Linked DNA regions of Arabidopsis thaliana. The protein of the gene in region 3 interacts with the protein of the main gene of each other region in a pairwise test. Each region holds a gene or a part of one and is shown on either strand. Other genes may lie near its edges.

The links.
Region 1: the proteins of AT2G33250 (region 3) and AT4G01410 interact in a protein complementation assay, tested with the Arabidopsis thaliana proteins (one large-scale study listed by BioGRID).
Region 2: the proteins of AT2G33250 (region 3) and AT3G26370 interact in a protein complementation assay, tested with the Arabidopsis thaliana proteins (one large-scale study listed by BioGRID).
Region 4: the proteins of AT2G33250 (region 3) and MAPR2 interact in a protein complementation assay, tested with the Arabidopsis thaliana proteins (one large-scale study listed by BioGRID).

Annotation. Positions count from the first base shown.
Region 1 is NC_003075.7:575,918-580,997, reverse strand, and holds AT4G01410 (Late embryogenesis abundant (LEA) hydroxyproline-rich glycoprotein family), read right to left. Parts: upstream 2,971-5,080; 5' UTR 2,691-2,970; coding exon 2,007-2,690; 3' UTR 1,711-2,006; downstream 1-1,710. Other genes in the region: CBL5 (calcineurin B-like protein 5), read left to right, coding at 42-150, 279-331, 419-499, 585-697, 924-960; AT4G01400 (oligomeric golgi complex subunit-like protein), read left to right, coding at 3,755-5,080.
Region 2 is NC_003074.8:9,654,144-9,661,555, reverse strand, and holds AT3G26370 (O-fucosyltransferase family protein), read right to left. Parts: upstream 4,877-7,412; 5' UTR 4,671-4,876; coding exon 4,362-4,670; intron 4,187-4,361; coding exon 4,136-4,186; intron 4,044-4,135; coding exon 3,953-4,043; intron 3,783-3,952; coding exon 3,706-3,782; intron 3,582-3,705; coding exon 3,493-3,581; intron 3,400-3,492; coding exon 3,280-3,399; intron 3,105-3,279; coding exon 2,988-3,104; intron 2,892-2,987; coding exon 2,748-2,891; intron 2,660-2,747; coding exon 2,536-2,659; coding exon of another isoform or gene 2,473-2,535; exon of another isoform or gene 2,448-2,472; coding exon 2,256-2,447; intron 2,175-2,255; coding exon 1,815-2,174; 3' UTR 1,611-1,814; downstream 1-1,610. Other genes in the region: AT3G26380 (Melibiase family protein), read right to left, coding at 1-18, 95-258, 340-401, 491-665, 746-1,003, 1,088-1,241, 1,337-1,416; AT3G26360 (Ribosomal protein S21 family protein), read left to right, coding at 5,183-5,478, 5,584-5,593; AT3G26350 (proline-rich receptor-like kinase), read left to right, coding at 6,826-7,412. UniProt on the Arabidopsis thaliana protein: Glycosyltransferase involved in the biosynthesis of pectic type-II arabinogalactans.
Region 3 is NC_003071.7:14,094,846-14,100,040, reverse strand, and holds AT2G33250 (uncharacterized protein), read right to left. Parts: upstream 2,673-5,195; 5' UTR 2,588-2,672; coding exon 2,183-2,587; intron 1,858-2,182; coding exon 1,363-1,857; 3' UTR 1,290-1,362; downstream 1-1,289. Other genes in the region: AT2G33255 (Haloacid dehalogenase-like hydrolase (HAD) superfamily protein), read right to left, coding at 67-201, 327-387, 479-521, 913-1,246; XID (myosin XI D), read left to right, coding at 3,127-3,183, 3,474-3,596, 3,692-3,835, 4,009-4,154, 4,244-4,400, 4,510-4,568, 4,659-4,818, 4,936-5,085 and 1 more.
Region 4 is NC_003071.7:10,606,851-10,611,375, reverse strand, and holds MAPR2 (membrane-associated progesterone binding protein 2), read right to left. Parts: upstream 1,960-4,525; 5' UTR 1,930-1,959; coding exon 1,627-1,929; 3' UTR 1,476-1,626; downstream 1-1,475.

The DNA.
Region 1 (5,080 bases), on a different chromosome or scaffold from region 3:
TAAATAAACTTCGATTGATGTTGTTTCTCTGAAATATGCAGATTTTTGGATTATTCGATATGAGAAACGATGGGGCTATAGATTTTGGAGAGTTTGTACACACACTCAACATTTTTCACCCAAACTCATCACCAAGAGATAAGGCCATATGTATGCTTCATCACTTCTAATGTGTTTATTCATTTATTCCATGTTATTATTATTTTCTATATAGCTAGAGATCAATGTTATTAACTATAACCACAAATACATCTGATCACTTGTTTAAAATTAAACAGTTGCATTTAGATTATACGATACTCGTGAGACTGGATTCATTGAACCGGAGGAGGTACGTATGTAAACTTTGTCTCAAAAAAAAGAAAAAGTCATGATTAATTATATTTGACGGTTTTCCTCGACTTGGAGAAATCTATAGGTGAAAGAGATGATAATAGACGTTCTAGAGGAATCAGAACTTATGCTATCCGAGAGTATCATTGATTCTATCGTGTCTAAGGTGTGTATAACGCTTAAGTTTATGAGCTTGATTTAACATTATAGTGATTTTACTTACTATTTTTGTTTACTTATATTTGGCAAAGACATTTGAAGAGGCCGATTGGAAAAAAGATGGGATAATAGATTTGGAAGAATGGGAGAATTTTGTTGCCACCTATCCTTTGACACTAAAGAACATGACTATCCCTTTCTTGAAGTAATTCGTTTGTTTGTTTTTCCTAACCATTTTCTTAATATTCGCTGATAAATTGCATGTTTTAGATACATCTTTCGTTTTACAAAAAAAGTAATATATATACATCTTTCAAAAACAGCTTTTATATATGTGTGTTTATGCATATATTACTATTATCTTCTTTTATTTTATTTTTCTTGTTTTATAAATCGAGATAATTATTCTAAAATTAACTTTTATTGTACAGGGACATTCCGAGGATTTTCCCAACCTTTCTCCGGTAAAATCAGATGAGGTGTTTGCTAGAGGTTTTTGTTTAAAAATATTTTTATCCGAAAATCACATAGGTAATTTGTTATAAGAAATATAGAAGGTTAATTATTATATAAACATATTAACTATCGAAAGAAATCTTTAATATTTAACGAGGATAGAAAGTAATTGTTTTTAACCACAAAGCTAAAGCTGTGATATGAAAACTTAAAAGCAAAGATCGGTTCGTGAAGACAAAATGGGGTTTTGGAAAAGGAAAAGAGGAAAAAGAAAAAGAACAAACGTGTGAAAATTCGAGAAAAATGGTAACACAAAAAGAAATTGGACATGATATAAGTTGCCAAAACCAAAGAGAAAAAATTGACATGATATACCAATCAAATTTTTGAATCAGGTCAACTAATCAAATTCACAACAATCATCCACAATATTATTTAGATTTGACGCTTTCACTGTTTCACATGAAAATTTTACATTTGACGCGATGACTTGTGGAGTCACGATCATTTTAGTCACTCGTTTTAAACGGATGCTTCATTCAAAAAATGTAACTTATATTCAGAAGACTCCTAACGTCCGATTCAGATTTACAAAAAAACAATATCATTGAATCGGAAAACAGAAAAGCATAGTAATATTCTAAGTATTTAATTATAATCGTGAGGAAATAGTTCCGTAATAATGGGGGAAAAATATATATATGATAAAACCAAAATGAGATTTGCCTGAAGATGCCATATGTCTGATCAAACACTCTGAGCTGTTGTGTCGATGAACTCACCATATGCCAAGATACGCTATTAGCGACAACACATTTGTATTGTCAAATGTCATTAATTAACATCCACAGGTCCAACAACAGAGAAACAAAATAATTATCACAAGTAAAATATAAAATTAGTAATATACTTGTACTTATAATTTTTGGCTTATGCCTTTTAATTTATTTTAACACTAGACTCGACGAAACTCATCACTAACATGACCACAAAAAAAAAAGATTACAATTCTAAAACACAAAGATTAAAAAAGAAAACATAACGAAGTAAAATTAAGACTAGACATCAACTTTACAAGTTGAAGGAGCGAGAAGAGGAACTTGTCCGTTAGAAGATGGATTAAATCTCAACCACACATCACATCTGGCGTAAAATCCATACCGTCCAGTCTTAATCGCACCAGCTTTCCAACGTAGCCTCCCAAAAATCACCACTCTCATCAAAACGACGCCGTAAGCTTCATCATTTTTTAAACCATTAGCTACTTCCGGCGAGACTGGTATACCGTTGCCTCCCATCACCGGAGCTATCACAACCGTAGATTTATGTCCTAAACGAAGCGGTGGTAGTGGAAGCGGCGGTGTTATGATCTGATCTTTGTACGTTACGTACATAGAGAGCTTGTCGTAGTGAATGGAGACTCTCCGGTTAGGGTTTCTTGCTAAAACGCTGAACTGAACGGAGGTTGAGATTAACGGCGGCGCTGTGAAATTCAGGTCGTAGATGGCGGCTCCGACGACGGTGAGACGTGGTTTATGTGGACGGTAGACGAGCCAAAGGATTAAGGCTATGATACCTAGTATGACAAGGATGGTGAAGATCGCGCCGCAGATTGCGCGGCGAGCATCTCCACCGCCTCCTCCGCCTTCTTTAGAGTAAGATTCTGGCGTTGAAGAAGCGGAGGGAGCGTTCTTGTGATCTGCTTTGGCTGCGTGCTCTGCTTTTGCTTCTCCTTCTCCCATGGCTATACTCTACAGATATAAGTGTTAAAGTGTGTATGTATAGGTATGTGTGTGTCTATACGAGAATCAGAGGGTTCGGTGAAGAGTGAAGACTCTAAAGAAGGAGGAGGAGAAGAAAGAAGATAAGTAGATGCAAGGTTTTGTCTCTTTTCTAGTTAATAAGAGTAAACAGTCTTCTAGAGTACAGTTTTATTAATTGTTTATTAACTTAGAAAGCTTGTAGTTGTAATTATGTGTTAAAGCTAATCTTTTTATAAAGTAGCCGTAAATTACTACTGTTTTTACATTGTGATTTTATTTTGTTATAATACTTAATGTAATAATATAAGATAGAGAAGTACTTTCGAAAGACTCCAAATCTCGGTGCAACCGTTCACGTGACGGATCTGATGAGTGATGAATTTTTTAAAAATGAAAAATCCAATGTAACGTGTATACATATGGCTATACATAATCAAATACTTTGTTGTCAATGATTGACTTATTTGGTGACAACTATGGTTTCGTGCAACGTGATAACTATCACTTTTTGGCCGTGTTAATTTTTAAAAAAATTAGAATGAAATTTATCAGGTTACGGCCTGTCAAAGTTAGCAATAACCTAATATCTGTTTGCATGCCAGAATACGGTTATGTAGAAAGAAAATTAAATTATCATATTTCACAATTCTTTATCAACTGTATAAAGCAATTAATAATAAATTAATTAGATACCACATGTGTCATATTTGTTCTAATGTTTAGAAAATAAAAGTACAAGTCTTTTATGTCCACATCTCCAACAATACTTCTGACCAAATTCCATATATTATTAGTAAGCTTCCAAAATAAATAATAATCACATTTAAGAAGAATCTGTTATTTAATCACACTAACTGAGATACCGCACCACCGACACTGTAGTCACCGACAATGCTGTGGATGCTACCTGGGCCTCAATTATAAGCCCATTATAAAATTGGGCCTACACTAAAACTATTGTGTACAGAGAGATATTTGATAATTTGCTGACTGATACAAGTCTCACTTCCAACGGCCGATTTATTAAAAAAAAACTCCGACAAATGATTCGCCGGCCGATCTACGACTTCGCCGCCGTTTTTCGCCACTTAACTTCTCCGTTATCGACATCCTCGCGTTTTCTGTTCTATTCTTCATCTGAACATGAAGCTCGAAAACCGATTGTCTCGAACCCTAAATCCCCAATCGGGTCTCCGACTCGGGTTCAAAAGCTCATAGCTTCGCAATCGGATCCTCTCCTCGCCAAGGAGATTTTCGATTATGCTTCTCAACAGCCCAATTTCCGCCATTCTCGATCTTCTCATCTAATCCTCATTCTCAAACTCGGCCGTGGTAGATATTTCAATCTTATCGACGACGTTCTCGCCAAACACAGATCAAGTGGTTATCCATTAACCGGAGAAATTTTCACTTATCTGATCAAAGTCTACGCAGAAGCAAAGTTACCGGAGAAAGTCTTAAGTACGTTTTACAAAATGCTGGAGTTCAATTTCACGCCGCAGCCAAAACATCTGAATCGGATTCTAGATGTTCTCGTAAGCCATAGAGGTTATCTCCAGAAAGCTTTTGAGCTTTTCAAGAGTTCACGGCTTCATGGAGTAATGCCTAACACGAGAAGTTACAATTTATTGATGCAAGCTTTTTGTTTGAATGATGATTTGAGTATTGCATACCAACTGTTTGGTAAAATGCTTGAGAGAGATGTTGTCCCTGATGTGGATTCTTATAAGATTCTGATACAAGGGTTTTGTAGGAAAGGTCAAGTGAATGGTGCTATGGAATTACTTGATGATATGTTGAATAAAGGATTCGTGCCTGATAGGTTAAGTTACACGACATTGTTGAACAGTTTGTGTAGGAAGACACAGCTTAGAGAGGCTTATAAGCTTCTATGTAGGATGAAGTTAAAAGGTTGTAATCCTGATCTTGTTCATTACAACACGATGATTCTCGGGTTTTGTAGAGAAGATCGTGCGATGGATGCTAGGAAAGTTCTTGATGATATGTTGTCTAACGGTTGCTCGCCTAATTCGGTCTCGTATAGGACTTTGATTGGAGGATTGTGTGATCAAGGAATGTTTGATGAAGGGAAGAAGTATCTAGAAGAGATGATATCCAAAGGGTTTTCTCCTCATTTCTCGGTTTCAAATTGTTTGGTAAAAGGGTTTTGTAGCTTCGGGAAAGTCGAAGAAGCTTGTGATGTTGTAGAGGTTGTGATGAAGAACGGAGAAACATTGCATTCAGACACTTGGGAGATGGTAATTCCATTAATCTGTAATGAAGATGAGTCGGAGAAGATCAAACTGTTTCTTGAAGATGCTGTAAAGGAAGAAATAACCGGTGATACCAGAATCGTTGATGTCGGTATC
Region 2 (7,412 bases), on a different chromosome or scaffold from region 3:
CTAGAAGCAGATAAATCTCTGGAAGAATGAAAATTATATGACATCAAAGAAAGGTAAAAACTTGGCAAGAGTATTTTTCAGCTTGAAACCTGACCTCGAGATATCAAAATGTGCCGTGACATCTTTCCATGTGTCCCAATCATCACCCGTTATTCTATACATGTTAACCAATTGGCTAACTTCTTTAGCCATTGTAGGTGTCACACTCGTCCCTGGAGATATGGAGTACAAAACAGGCCGATCAAGCTCCTTTAGAACCTGCGACAAATAAGAACAATGTTTCATCTCTATGTACCTCTGACTTTAACCAGAAGATTGGTAGTTATCACAAATATGTACCTCTGACACATAAGTTATCTCCTCTATATTGAAGTCAGTGCCAAATACGCAGTCATGTTTTACTAAAGACCAAGAAAGTGAGACAAGATTGAGATAATCATATATCGAATAAAGTTAAAGAAGGTTACGGAAATGAAGTCGATTCTCTTACTGAAATCAACGCCCCATTCTGCATATTGACGATAAAGAGACCTCAAGAATGCTTTTCCTGCACCTAACTTGGTATTCACACTCATGAACCCATGCGACATCCAAACACAAGCCCTCTCCTTGATCCCAATATCTTTCGCTCGCCACTGTCTACCTGATTCTTCATAAGCACCTCCCTTCAACCATTAAAAGATTCACTTGTTGATAACTTCCAAACAAACTTCATAAACTCAGAAAGAATCAATCAACTCAATACCTTAACACTATCCATAACGAGACTATTTGCGTTATAAGCTTGTGTGCTGATTCCTCCCATAACATGAATCCCAAACTTCAAACCCATTCTATGAACTTTCTCAGCAACTTCAGTGAAACCTTTACCGCCTCTAGAAGATGGCCATCTACCTGGATCAGGATGCAATCTTCCCCATTCATCAATCACATCAAACCCAAGAGAATCCACATAAGCTCCTTCAACTTTCTTTCTATACCAAAGGTAATCCACCACAACATACTGTATCCAAATCAACACACACAAACACAAGCAATTAAAAACCTAAACTTTTACATTCTAAAGGATAAAGAAACTCACAATTACCTGATAACCATGAGGAAGAAGACGCTTAGAAACAATTTCAGCACTCTGCAAGAACTCAGCTTCAGAGATAGTCCAACAAAAGGAATCGTACGAATTCCATCCTCTTGGAGGAAAGCTAGCATGTTGTTGCCTCGACCTTGCTTCAATCGATAAACTGAAAAAGACGAAACTTTTGTGATTGATCGATCACTCAAACACCACCCACTCAAAAACCAAAATCAAATTCAAAAACCCAGTGAAGCGGAGTACCTAAAAATGGATAGATTAAAGATGATGAAGAAGACAGTGGACCGGGTCGACCCGGTTTTCTCTACGGATAGTCCGGTCATAGAGATGAGAACTGATTACGATAGCTTCTGATTTTGTTTTCCTCTTTTGTTGTTGAGAACCTGAGAGTAAGAGAGAAGACAACACGCAATGGTTGTGTTAATGGCGGGTACTATTAGAGAGCGTGACAAAAAATTAAGAATTGGATTAGTAACCGTTGAGCTAATTTTCTTTTAATTAAAGTTTAGTGCATCAATTTGATCAAATTTAATATAAAAAAGAAACTTTTTTTTCATCACTAGGAACTTTACATAATATCAAAATGATTACAAAGATGGTAAATGAAGACTTCAAAGATTTGAAAGGTCAAAAAAGAAGAAGAAGAAGAAGAAAACTACGAATCTCTATAGTTTGTTGCTCCTCATCAGACAAAATCCAAGACCAAACAAAAGCATCATCATCAAGCTTTACACATGCATGGAGTGAGAGGATTTTCCCAAAGATCATAGTTAGGGAAAGTTTCTTCAGGTAAACCGGTTCGTGTTTGATGGGTTACAACTACATCTTCCACAAAAGTTGCCCATCCCATGTAAGGATCCCCAAATGATTTCGACATCAACCCTTTATCCGGTTTGATTGATTTCTGGCGATGCCCCATATATCTACGCGCTCCGATGATCAGTTTTGCAAAGTTTCCACCGTGTGTCATCACAAATACATCTGATTTCAAGCACACCAAGAAATCTAGAGCCGCAAGACTTGTAACGTGTTTTCTAAACGTTGTTAGTTCCTCTTTGCCTGCTAAATCCTCCTTTGTTACCTGATTCAAAGGACAGTTAATGTGAGAGACAAGTTTGTGCTGATTCATCAAAGAATTATAAGAGTCCGGTGTTGTGCTTACCAAATTTGGGAACATGTTTCTTAGTGGAGCCATACGGTTTTGACCGCCATAGACTTGACCAGATGCAACATAGATTTGTGTTTCTTTTGGATAGCCCATTGCACGTAGGATCACAGCAACTTCTCCTGGCTCAAGAGGGCATCGACCTTCTTTGCGCTTCTGCAAGGCGAGCTGCCAGAGATGGGAACCATTCTGCAATATATGTCAAGAAATTTCATTAAGGTAGCGGTTGAGGTTGTTTAGCCACCAAAAGAAGTTGACAACTGCTTATAAATGTCACCTTGAAACGCCGAGGCCATTCCTTTTGTCTGTATTCTGCCATTTTAACTTTCTCTTCCCTTGTCCCCACAAAATCACAGAACGATAGACCAACCATTCCTTTCTCGAATCTAAGATGAAGAGCCCTATACAAGAGACATGGGTATAGTTTTAAGTTGATATAATGCATATGGTCCTAAGTTATAACAAAGTCGAATCTCTGATATGGCATACATATATGGATTTGGATTTCCAGTGCGATTTCTCATTCTAGAAACAAGTGAATCAGCCATCTGCTCTATCTCTGGAAGAAATTTGAGAGCATGATAATTTACACGGCATCGTAATCTGTTGATTTCTTGAGGTACATTGTCATACCTGAAAAAATTTCCAGCATCACAAGAATAAATCATTCATTGTTTATAAGACGATTTCCAAAATCTGAGCACTAAACTATAGGAATATTGGTTATACCCAAGTCGATCGACAAAAGGCTTCAAGGCCATTATCTTCTTCTCCTTTATCCGAGGTAAAACATTGTCAATATAAAATTGGGCTGCTGCATATTTGGGAATGTTTTTGACTGTTCTTCTGCAGAAGATAAATAAATAACTTGGTCAACATCATATCTGATTAAAAAATACAGATCGATTTTTAAATCAGAGATATACACAAGGAGCACCCAGTGACGCCATAATTCCACAAGCTAACTTTTGAAATCGTCCAACAAGTACATCATCAACAAATAATGAGTTGACAAGCAAACCTTATACTAGAGAATAGCTCTGCTTTGTCAGTGAACCAGTCAGGTATGTCTCGAACAATTCGGACATCATCCTTCAAGTAATCAATGAAATGATCTACATCAAAAATGTCTTCAAATTTTCTGCAAAAGAAAGTTAACAAGCTCAGTAAACCAAAAAGAAAATAGAGAAGTAATTCAAGATGAAATGAAATCAATATCTGAATATGATTTTACGTTGTGTCTTTCCATATTTGGTCCTGCTTCAGTACTGGTAGAATCAGTGTTGCATTCATAATCTTGGCAACAGCTACTGCGTTGCAGATCTGGAAACAAAAGGGCATGAATTCAAGATTGGACGATGGCAAGAAGAACAACAGCCATTTAGACATTGATCCATGATTGGATAATGGCGAGAAGAAAAAGAGATAAAAGTTGGAAGATACATACAGCAATTCGCTGCTGATTCAAACCACCTTCAGCATGAATGAATACATAGCCATTTGTTTCATTCTCAGGAGGAAGATCTGAAAAAAACAGTTGACACAATCTAATAAGCTAACCAAGGAAAAAGACTTGAACTTTCACGAAAAGACAGATCAATAACACATGACAATGTGTTTCGACGAAAAAAAAAAAATAAAAAAAAAAAATAACACATGACAATGAAAATGACAATGCTCTAGCCCTTCAATACCTGAGATTCCACCAATCCGCCGCTCAGCACAAGGCTTCCAAGAAGTTGTTGCAGATAAAGGATTCTCCCAAGGAGAAGGTGACTCTTTTACCTTACAAATGCAAACCAACACACAATTAAATTTACAGGATTCAAAGCTTATGCATTCAACAAAACACATAACCAAAGTTTTCAAACACTTACATGAGGACAGTTTAGCACAATCCCATCTTTTTTACATAAATAAGGAGCATTCTGCAGAAGATAGACATAGAAGCAATCTTAGTCTGAGAACAATGTCAATCCAAATCCACCTAAATAAACAAACCCCTTTACTCAAAACAAAGCTAAATACTTTTCCAAATCGATTCCACAGTTAGAACATAGAGCCTTGAAGATCTCAATTCCTAGATCGAAGGAAGAGACTTACCAAGTGATTAATAATCCCATAAACTGAGATCAAGCTAGCAATAGCGAGAATCAAAATCAATAGAAGCGAGATTTTATTCTTCTGAGGAGAAACCCTAGGATCATCACCGAAGAAAGGAAACAAAGAGTGAAACCAGATCGGACGGTCTCGATCTCTAGAAGGATGACGTGGGCGACCATCTTCGTCGTCTCCGCCGTTAGGAGAGTGATCGTGTACATGAGGCGATGAAGAATCCTCATCTCCGGCGGCACGTAACGGAGAAGAAGAAGATCGGCTACCGAGAGAGCTCGAGTGCCGTAACTCTGCCATTGCTCGCCTCGGACTAAAAGTCGCCAGCTTAATTTCTATATCCTCTCTTCCTTTTCTTCCTCTTCACTTTCTCTGTAGATAGATACAGTGCTTCTTCAGCTCTACTATGTGGACGCTGCCATTTGAGAGAGAGCTTGGAGATTCGAACACTCCACAGAGAGAGAGAGAAATTAAAGAAGCTTTTTTTTTTTGAAAGGCTTGAATGTTCTTCTTTAAAGTCAATACTCTCTGAATCAAACAGAAGATTAGATTTAAGGATATTTACAAAAACATCCCTATATCTCATAAAACTTACATAACCACCCCTATATTAGTAAATTCTCTGGTTTTTATCTCATTTCCTCCATCGCCTCTTTTTTAACCTAGACATTCTCCATCATCACTCAAATTGGCTCTTTGATTCTCTCCGGCGAGATTCCGACCGGTAAGTCGAATTCAGATCCTATCACTGTCTCTCGTCAATCTCATTTACGTTTTCAGAAACATACTTTTTCAGAAAACAAGTAAAAGAGATGAACACGATAGCGAAGCGAGTTACGGGGTTGGTGACTCGTCCGAGTCTAAACCAGCAGTTGCAGCAAGAGCGAGGGATAAGAGTGAAGGTGTTCTCCAATGATTTAGACAAGGCACTGACGATTTTGCAGAAGAAGATGCAATCGAGTGGAATGGAGAGGCTGATCAAAGGGACTCAGACTCATCACATTAAGAATTCGGAGAAGAAGGTTCTCGCTAGGAAGAATCTTGAACGCAGAATCAAATCCATTGACTTTGCTCGAAAACTCCAATCAATCCTCATCAAGAAAGTCAGGTAATGTTTTCTGATTTTTCTCAAAAGCTTCACATTTTTTAGGGTTTTAATGGTGTTGTTTAGTTTAGTAAGATCTTGCGTATTTCTTATTGTTATTCTTTGCAGAGGTTTATGAGAGCTGAGGTGAAGCAAGAGTGCTGCTATGTTGATCAGTACTAGTATCTGTGTGTGATATAACACAGTTTTACATTTTGAACTTTTGATGAGTTGAATCAATGTGGAATTGGAATTTTGGATTTGATTAGTTGTTTACTCTATGGCTTCTCTTTCGTAAGTTTTCAATGATCTTGAGAAAGAACATCAGATCTTAGGAGTACATGTATTGAAAGTTGTTTCAGGGCAAGTGCGTTGCTTCTCCTGCACTCTGTATGACTGTGTTCTGTGGGTCTCTGTGCTTGAATTGTGTTTCTTGTTCCGGCCATGATTACTCTGAGATTGTTCTGCTTTCTTCGCGTGTAAAGCGTAGGTTAGCTCTTTCCAGGCGTTTACACTTTCATTTTATGTATATTCATGTTACTATATACCATGCCATGCCAAAGAATGGGGATAAGAGATATAGGAAGAACAATTGCACCGAAGATCGTGGAAAATACCTTTTGTATGGGTTTAGTTTTCAGTTTGCTTCCAGCTTTTTTACTAGTATCTGTTTGGTCAGGCTCGATTGGTAGTTGTCTTTGTCAACGTTTGCAGTAACCGGCATTGCAGAGTTGGTTTCATGTTTGATGCTGCAGAAATTGAGCAGAGAACAGAGTATCTACCTGCAGAAGCAACGTGTTTCGCATCAGATTTGCGCTAACTAATCTGCGGCCTTCTTGATCTATGGGAGACATATCTTAACATGTTCATAGTTTACTGACATATTCGACAAGTTTTCGTAAGTTGCTCTGAGAATCAACATCTTTCCCCTGGAGTGAGCTGAAGTAGAAAGATTGACATATTCATGACTGTTACTGTAAGTCCTTAACCCTGTCTCTCCTAAAATCGAGATCTTTTTATTTGGGTTTTAGATAAATTGGACCGAGTAATTACAATTTTCTTAAAAAAACTTTTGAATGAGAAAAAGATACAGAGAATGTTTTTATACTTTTTCATGAGATTAGAAACTGATTTTAATTTTAGTGCAAGGAATCTACAACAAAGATTACTTGCTTCGTGCTATCACTTTCCTTCTTTATTTTGTTTTCTACAACAAAGAATCCTTACTTGAACTTGTCACCAAGTTATTCTCTCCCTCTCTCTATCTCATTTAGAAACTTAAAACAGTTCAAAATCTCTCTGTTCTCATTCTTTCATCTCAAGTCTTACTTAACTTAGTTTCCTTTGATGCTTTTTAGCTTCTTCATCTAAATGTCTCATCATCATCACCATGAAACTAACCCTCATTTTGCGCGAATTCCATCGCAGAATCCACATCTCAAAAGCGGTGGTGCTTCTACCTCACAAACATCTTCGAACCAACCACACATCCCGCCCATTCCGCACCCAAAAAAATCGCACCACAAAACCACGCAACCTCACCCAGTAGCTCCACCAGGAATCCTAATCAAGACTCGTGGTCGCCACCGTGAAAATCCAATCCAAGAACCGAAACATTCTGTAATACCTGTACCATTAAGCCCAGAGGAGAGACTTCCACCACGAAAAACTCAAAACTCATCGAAAAGACCATTGCTATTAAGCCCTGAAGATAATCAACAACAACGACCTCCACCACCACAAGCACCACAACGCAACGGAGGGGGTTATGGATCAACATTACCTCCAATACCCAAACCAAGTCCATGGAGAACCGCTCCAACACCATCCCCGCATCACCGCCGTGGCCCACGGTTACCACCACCCTCAAGAGAGACAAACGCAATGACATGGTCAGCTGCATTTTGCTGTGCAATATTCTGGGTCATTCTTATTCTCGGCGGTCTTATCATCCTAAT
Region 3 (5,195 bases):
CATTGCTTATCGATTTGCTATGGAGAAAGGGTTGACCAAAGGCTTGTCATCATGTCTGTCACTCACATCATCTTTTAAGCTGTCACCAACCATCATGACTTCATTAGGTTGGATGTCCCATGTAGAACATATATGCAACAGCGGGTCTGGGTTTGGTTTATATGGACGAAACTCTCTGCCTAGTGCTGGAGAAAAGATAACCTATACAATGAAAAATAACTGTAAGGAACTGCCTCAGATTTCTTCTCTCTGATAAAAAAAAAAGAATGATCCAGCTAAACCTATCTCAGGCAGCTGTCAAAATGTCTTCAATTCAACATTCTTACCTCAAAACGTTGATGGAAGATGTCGATTGCCTTTTGAACATTGCGTGTAATTAGCCCCCTCCTATAAAGTAAAATACAAAATGTAACAACAGTCAAGTTATCTGAACAAGAAAACAAAAAATCATAGACAGAAGTATCTGAAAACCACAGACTTTATCTTTTTGGAATCAAGGAAGCCACATAGTTCAGCAGTACCTGCCACATAAATGATCACATATCAGAAGAGAATTAAACCTCTAAACGCCAAAGAAACACAGTACTCCTTCTAGATTTTCAACTGCTAAATCATCTTATAGAACTCAACAGCATAAAGTCAATGACCAGTAAAGGAATGATCTCAAATCGTGATGTGGGGCTCTAAGACAAAAGTCAAACCTCCGTTAGACCATAAAGTCTTCACTTTTAACAAATGTTCATTTTATCTTTCAGCCTTGAATTTGCAATCTTTTCTCATCTTTAACTCTACGAAATTCTCAATCTTTAACCCATTTTACGATAGATTATCAGACGAAAACCCAAATCCTTAACACTTCCTCAGCGCAAACACAAAATCAAAAATAAAAAAATAAAGCAGATGAATCCGTACCAGGCATGATTTGAAGCTTATCTATTCCTTGTTTCTCATAATCAGCAATGATTTCATACGCCTTCTGCTGTTTATCAGGACTCCACGACTCAATATGATGCAGAATATCAATCCCACTAGGGCTCTCTGCTTTGATTCGCTTGTAAGCATCTTCACCAAGAACAGCTCTATACATTGCGGCGAAATCGATGACCGGAACAGTCAGGGTTCCGTCCATATCGAATACAACACCTCTCAGGCGAGTTTTAGCGTTCGTCGTTAAATTCGCCATGGAAATCGAACAAGAAGGTCTGAGAGTGAGAGAAATAAATGTTCTTGATAAGAGGAAAGTCATGGAAAAGAAATGGTGATGCTCAAACTGAAATTGAGGCTCATAATTATTCTCTATTTTTAACCAATTTCGGTTCGGTTTAATTTGAACAACTTGGTTTGTTTTGGTTTAGTGGTTTTTCACTTGAGCATGTTTGTGTATGTGCTTAAGAATGGAAACAAAGACACCAACAATCTCAACAATAATGGTTCTGCTGCCTTTTCTCTTCTTACTCTCTTCCTCTTCGGTAACGGTTTCTTCTTCGGTTCGCTTGTTGGCCGTTCGGGAATGGTGGTACCAAGCCCGTCTAACTCGTCCCACCCACCAAACTTAGAAGCCATTCCAGCTGAACTACGGTTAACTCCACGGCCATTGACATTGTTTCTAACGGTTGATGGGTTGTATCGAATCCTGCTACTACTTCTCTCCACTTCTTCTTCTTCTTCCTCTATCCCGAATTGATTTGCTATTGATGTACCTCTGCGTTTATCCCAACCAATCAACTTCTGGAACGCATAAAATAACAATGATGGCCCGATTGCTACGGCTAGTGACACGAGGAAAGCTTTGGGTCCGGTGCTGAAGAAAAGCGATAAGATGATGAATGGGAGGAGATATCCATACGATTTGAATGCCTACAAAGTGAACATAAACCAAACACAATAAAGATCCCACACCAACAATAAGAGAGCAAAATCTGGTGTATGCAAATAAAATGCAGCTATATATCAACAAAGCCGTTTCTCTTATCTTTGAGCAGAAAGACACTATCTAGTTAGAAATCAAAACTAGTTCAGATTCACTACACAACGATATTAACTGTTTCTTACATGATCACCATAACCATTACCAAAGAACAATTTTGATACTTTAATCAATCAGCATTTTCAATTAGCAGTAGTAGATTCCCGGCTAATTTCATAATTAAGGCTTAAAAGATGCATGATTGAAACTAATTACCTTTAAAATCCAAACATTATCTACAATTTCCTCTAAGATCTTCCACAGGTCAAAATTAGCACTACCAATTCCACCACCACCATCATCTTCATCATCATCGTCTTCAACATTATCTTCAAAAAGTTCTTCCCATAGCTCCCGCCGCTTCCTTCCCCTTTTTCCCCTTTCCGTCAAACGGTATCCCCTACCGTCATCAGCGGCGGCGCATATTTTATAGCTGAATCTCCGGCGGTTCAGCTGAATTATCTTCGCCGAAGTTACTCTAGAGCATGAGGAAGAGAAACAGAGGAGTTGAGAACGAGAGGGAGGATAAGATCTAGGGTTGTGGAATCGCCAGACATGGAGGTTTGAGAAACTAAGATAAGTAGAAGCTCGCGGTAACGAAAGAGCTCCTCTATCCGCCATTAACGTCTGGCGAAGCGAGAACAGTGAAGAAAATGCTCTGCTCCATGTATAGACACACTCAACTTGCGCCACGTTGTCATCATCTCCTCCATTAGAATCGAATACTATAAACCGGCTTGGTCCAGGAGAAATGTTAGAACTGAAATCCGGTATAATTGCAGGGGTAATTTCGAGATCATCAAATGTCTGACCTGACACGCCTACGTGGATTCTCTTTTCTCTTCCTTTTTCCAGAAACGAGGGAGAGAGAGACGAAGCATCAAACAAGGCAAAAACAAAAAAAAACCAGGAGAGAATATTCCGAGGGAAAACGCGAGAAAATTTCTTACGTTCTGCGAGAATCTCCAGCTTTCCTGGGGAAATATTGGAAGGCAAAAGCCGAAGGGTTTAAGGTCTCTGTAATCGTCGGAGAAATTTGAAATATCGTCCGTAAAACGTGAATGTAGTCTTAATCTTCCGCATTTATAACGTCGATCAGAGATTTTGAAGCTAGTAGAGAGAGAGAAGCGTTTTGTGTTTGATTTATGGTGTTTGGATCCATGGTGTGGAAACACCAGCTGATTGGGTTCTCAGGGATTTTTTCTAATGTTTCTCCCGTTGGAAATCTTTATTCGGGATCATTTCTAGGAAAATCAGACCAGATTTGGCCGTGATAATGGTACGAGTCTCTCTTCTCTTATCTGCATTGCGATTTCTCCGTGTTCTTCATTTTTACCTTTTTTTTTTTATCTTCTGTAACCATAATTGCTATTTGAGCTGATTTTTATGTTGCCCCTTACATTTTAGATTTCATTATAAGATGTGTCTAAAAGAGAACAAAAGAACCAGCTAATGAAGCTTGACAATATTTTTTTTATTTGTTTCTAATATATTCTACTTTAATCAGGCTTCAGTGAAGGTAACTGTGGGGTCACAGGTCTGGGTGGAAGATCCAGATGAAGCCTGGCTAGATGGAGAAGTTGTGGAAGCTAACGGTCAAGAGATCAAAGTTAATTGCCAAACCAAGACGGTTAGTCCCTTTTCTCCAAAGCAACGAGACAATGTGTTAGTTCTTAAGGTACCTTAAGAATACATTGCTCATATTTGTGATGCATTTGTTTGTAGGTTGTGGCAAAGGTTAATGCTGTCCACCCCAAGGATCCTGAGTTTCCTGAGCTTGGTGTGGACGACATGACAAAGCTTGCGTATTTGCATGAACCAGGGGTTCTTCTCAATCTAAAAGCCAGATACAATGCAAATGAAATATATGTACGCTTCAGCATGTAACTCTTGTCAGTTTTCCTTCTTTCATTACACCCACTTATGAATTCTATGATTATCTCTACCATTGTTTTGCTGAAAATTACTGCACAGTTATAGCAATATCATTAATATTTCTCTGAAGTGTTTGTAGCAAGCTAATTTCTTCTTGATGGTTACAGACATACACAGGGAATATACTGATAGCTGTGAATCCCTTTAAAAGATTACCCCACCTATATGGAAATGAGATAATGGAGCAATATAAGGGCACAGATTTTGGCGAGTTAAGCCCACATCCTTTTGCTGTTGCTGATTCTGCATACAGGTAATCTTTTGTTGCATAGATGAAACTTTAACTAATGTTGCACTATCATTTTTTTTTGGGCCTCACCATCATCAAGAATATAAATTTAGAAAAATGATCAACGAGGGAGTAAGCCAGGCGATCTTGGTGAGTGGAGAAAGCGGTGCTGGGAAGACAGAGAGCACAAAAATGCTCATGCAATATCTTGCATACATGGGTGGAAAAGCTGAGAGTGAAGGACGATCTGTCGAACAGCAAGTTTTGGAGGTAGATAGTCTGTTTACAATGCATCTACATTCTTACTAGAGACAGACTCACTGAGTTTCTCTCTGTAGATATCTTCTTATTCTTCTCGTATTATGATCCTGTTATGCAGTCAAATCCAGTTTTAGAAGCTTTTGGTAATGCAAAAACCGTCAGAAACAATAATTCAAGGTGGAATGTCATTCACATTTCTTGATTTTTCAAGTTTATGTATGTTCTTGAAGTCAACCTTGACATATGTAGGCAAATCTCATATTGCAGTCGTTTTGGTAAATTTGTGGAGATTCAGTTCAATCATATGGGAAGAATCTCAGGAGCTGCTATTAGAACATATTTGCTGGAGAGGTCACGAGTTTGTCAAGTTTCTGATCCTGAAAGAAACTATCATTGCTTTTACATGCTTTGCGCTGCGCCAGAACAGGTAAACATGGTCCCTTGTATGTTTACATCAGGTCGAACATATGAAGGCTCTGTATGTCCAGTGCTTGGCCATATATGGGATTCATACTGAAAACTAGCTTCTGTTCTGAAATTTCAGGAAACTGAGCGGTATCAGTTAGGGAAACCAAGCACATTTCACTACCTAAATCAATCGAATTGCCATGCATTGGATGCAATTGATGATTCCAAAGAATACCTAGCTACGAGGAAAGCTATGGACGTTGTTGGAATTAGTCCTGAAGAACAGGTACCTTTTGTTTTTTCATTGACATGATCAGCAATGAGGATAACTCTTCTTACATTTTACTTTTGTAGGATGCAATCTTTCGGGTAGTTGCTGCTATCCTTCATCTAGGA
Region 4 (4,525 bases), 3.5 Mb from region 3:
GATCCAACAAACAAGGAATACCATGAGGGAGACGATGGAAAATCGCTACAACAACGAGGAGGAGGCTCTGGAGGTACCGGATCTGGAGGCACCGGAGGCTTGGGAGGATCCAGCGATACCCGAAAGAACAGCATCCGGAGGTGAGCGGTGTTCACAGTCCAAACGGAGGAGCTCGACGACGGGAGAGTTGAGAACGAAGCAACCATCAGAGCTGAATTACTAGCCAAAGACTACTCGCAGGCGACAACGGGTTCCGACGAACGACGAGGATCTGACCCGAGAAGGAAGAGCAGAGCGGCTTCAGAAGGAAGAGGATAATTGAGCGGCGGAGCAGCGGCGGCGGAGGTCCATCTTGTCTTGGAGCATGGAGGGGCGGCTTCCTCGGAGATCGTGCCCGGGAGAGAAGACCTAGGGCGAACTCTCTTTGGTTAATATTTAAGATCGCCTCGTTCTTATTGTTTTGCGACTTTGTCAATGACTAGAGAAGCGCAACAACTTTGTATATTTGCTGCTCAGAGCTCTGAGGTATGGATAGCGAATAAGATGGAGAGTACGAAGCCATTTCATAGAGCAAGTTCCTGACAGTGTCGAAATTTGATGACCGCTATCATTTAGGGTTATGTTTTGGGTTGAGTTTCTTAGTCGACATAGAGAACAAAGTTGTAGTGTCTTGTAATCACCCCGGGTTCTCCAACAACGTTTTACAAATTGTGGGAAAGGATAAATACCTACCTGAGGATCAACATGGTGCCGAATCTCCTACCCCTCCACGTCTCCTCATTTATGTTCTAGGTTTGGTTCAAATCCAGCAAGGTAGCTAGTTCTTGGAGGTGGTGGTTTGTGCATTTTTTTATTTAAAATGTCAAAATAATATCTAAGTTAGGATGCCTCTCTCTTGATAAACAAGCATAGCTATAGGCCACAGCCACTACACACGACACAAGTCAACTCGAGCCAAGAACAACTCTACCCATGAACAGCTCTCCCTCAAACCTAAGACTTGGCGTTAAAGCAACATATTAGTCGCAAGAACGCCATGCCGAACAGGGCCGAAGTCATACAAGTGATGATAATAATTTAGACCGGGAGAAGTAAGAAAGAATCAAAGAAGACACACATTAGCTTCTATGAATTCTGAATGTTCATCATAACTATATTCTTCCAAATCTCATAACGCAAAAGACTAAAATTAACAACAACTTGGAACTTGTAAGATAATTTACACCGAATCCAAAACTACCAGTAAGTTTGGTGTTGCTCAGATTTCAGAAACCATCAGTTTTTCTTTCACCAGACACAATTAGCTCCAAGTATTTGCAAGATATGAAAGACACAAACCAATCTTTATATCCTCTCATCAAATACATATGAGACTTAAAACTCCTAAAATCCTAATCATCACAACAAAGTAACCTTTTTTTTTTGGTAAGCACAACAAAGTAACCTTAAGATCAGAATATGAAGACCACTGAGAACACGAAATCCCCGATTTATTTCATAGATAATTTGGTACTTATGGTAATTGTATCAAAACGATCAGATCCAAACACGAAATCAGAAAACACACAACACAAAGATCCTCACACACAATAGTTACATAACATAGTGCAATCTCAGAAGAGAGACCTAAGAGACAACACGGCCAACGACAGGATACTTAGCTTCAAATTTGGTCTCCCAATCATTAAGAGTATTGATCTCTTTCTCAGTGAGACCTTCAAGAGAAGGAGACACATCTTCTTCGTTCTTACTCATCTTACCCAAAGCTCTGCTCGCGTCTTTTCCGGCGAACATCGAGTAATCGCCTCCGGAGCCGTAGAAGGATTTTCCGGTGGTGACATCGAACACACGGCCTTTGATTGCGACGTAGATCGGCTTTGATTCGTCGGTGCCGTTGTATTGGCTTAGCTGCTCTGCGGTGAATTCCATCTTTTTCTTTAAAGCTCTGATCAATTGTTTCTGGAAAGAACCAAATAAAAGATAGTGAGAGATATATAACAGAGGATTTTTTTAAAAAAATTATAACTGAATAACTTTTTTTTAATAAGTGGAACAACTTTTTTTGTGTCGGTAATAAGTGGAGTAAACTTTATTCTTCAGATTTTTACAAGGAATATCAAAAAATATTTTATTTTTCTCTAATTAAAGTCGATAAAAATTCCAGAAATGCTTAATCTTTCAAGGAGCTTAATTTAAGCTGCTTAAACAACTTCGTCGGGTTTAAAGGACGGCTTTGGGAAAAGACAATTTAATTTGAACTAATTCCTAAGATAGAACACATTTGTATGTTTATTCCTACAGTAGAACACATCTTTTTTTTATTACTCAGATGTTTTCAGTTATTGTGTAATTACAATTAACACCCCTAATTAGTTTTAATTAATTATTATTATTTAATTCGTTTTTAACTAAAAATTAAATGAAAAAACAGTGATTATACATGTCATTATTCCATGTCATTACCATAATCCACGTCATTAATTATCTCCAAACTCCATAACGTTTGGGTTTCTTATTTCTTAGCTTTACTGTTCATCATCTCCCAAAAAAAAAAAAAACTGTCGCTTTCTTCCACTTTCTCTCTCGACGGAACGAAATCGATTTCTTTCGCCGTTTTGCTCTTTTCTCGTCTGTTCCGGCCGAAATTCAGACGCCGGAGTCGCATTTACGTAAGCGCGAAGTCACATTCGACATCTAAGTTCCGGTGAGTATCTTTCAATGAAGTAAGACTCTGACATCTAAGTTCAATCTCAAGTGATTCCCGTCACTGAAATCGTTTTCCGATGCGTAACGATGGTTTTTAAAGCTGGGTTTTAACGTCGACGTTGATTGACATATGGTGGCCGATTTCTTAGATCTATTTGATTTGACGGCTGAGTTACTGTTTGTTTGCCGACTGATTTATGATTTATCAATTCATCCGTGTCTGAGTTTTTTTTATGCTGTGACTGAGTTATGGTTTAACCTTACATCGATGTCTGAGTTTCTGTTATATGACGGCTGAGTTTGTTTATGTTATGGCTGAGTTTCTGTTTTGATATAGCTGAGTCTGGTTTATGTTTTAACTGAGCTGTTGTTATGTTATGGTTTGACTGAGTTTCTGTTAAAATATGGCTGAGTTAGATTTATCTTATGGCTGAGTTATGTTATGTGTGGCTGAGATAGGTTTATGTTATGACTGAGTTATGTTATCTATGGCTGAGATAGGTTTATGTTATGACTGAGTTATGTTATCTATGGCTGAGTTAGATTTATGTTTTGCCTGAGTTATGGTATCTGTGGATGAGTTTGTTTTATGTTATGACTGAGTTATGGAATGCTTACGGCTGATTTATGGTTATACAGATGTCTGAAGACCAAGCAAGGGAGTACCCTCCAAGACTTTACCAAGAGGGGGATTCTAATCTGGAGGGTAAAGGCATTAATCATAATATAAAGCTGGGAGAGTTCCCTGCAATTAGAGAATCAATAGGAGAAGAAATATGGGCAGAACTGAAAGAGACAGAGCTTGGATTAATTGCTAAGCTTGTTGATAGTCATTTTCTCTGGTCTGGTAAGACCGTACATTATCTACTATGCAGACAGCTGAGAATACTGAAGAAGGAGCTTTGGTGTATCGTGGCTGGTAAACCCATCCGGTTTGGATTGAACGAATTTCATCATATCACTGGTTTAAATATAGATGATCTGCCTACAGAAAAGTTTGAGCCTGAAGCTGACTACAAAGCGTTCTTCAGTGAATTGCGTGTGCCAACCGGTGAAGGTCCTAATCTAGATGAACTTAGGCAGGGCTTAGTAACGTGCAGAGCTTGGCCTACTGAAAAACGTAGATGGTTTGGGTTATTGACTCTTCTATCCATTGGACTTTTTGGCTTGCATACTAACTCTAGGATACCATTTGAGAGTGCCAAAAGAGTTTTCGACGACGAAGCCATGAAGACTTATCCATGGGGTCGGGCAGCATATGAAGCCCTTGTCGTTTCTATAAAGTTGCTGAGGCCTATTGGCAAGACGTACACTGTCAGTGGTCTGGTTTTCGTGTTGCAGGCTTGGGCGTATGAGTCAATCATCACCATCGCTGAGCGTTTTGGGAACGCTGTTAACGCGGATGAGATTCCGTTGCTTAGATGGGGTGGCAGCCGTACCCGTTCAACTATAGAATCGGTCATTGCTGAAGATATCAAAGCGAATGGTGGTGAGGTACGGTTTCGGCTCTGTTATGTTCTGTTTTTTATCAAATATTTATGTTACGGCTGAGTTAATGTTTTATTTTTCTCTGTGAAGGCTGAGTTATATTCTTTTTTTTTGGCAAATATGTTATGTGACGACTGAATTATGTTCTATAATGGCTGAGTTATATTAAGTGACGACTGAGTTATATTAAGTGATGGCTGAGTTAAACATACTGATGGGTTTTATTATCTCTCCTGTTGTAGCTGCGTGTTCGTACAATGGTTGAAAAGGCTGAGTTAAGCGAGCTGTTTCATTTTTGGCCAGACCAATTAGAAGACCCAGCACTTGATAA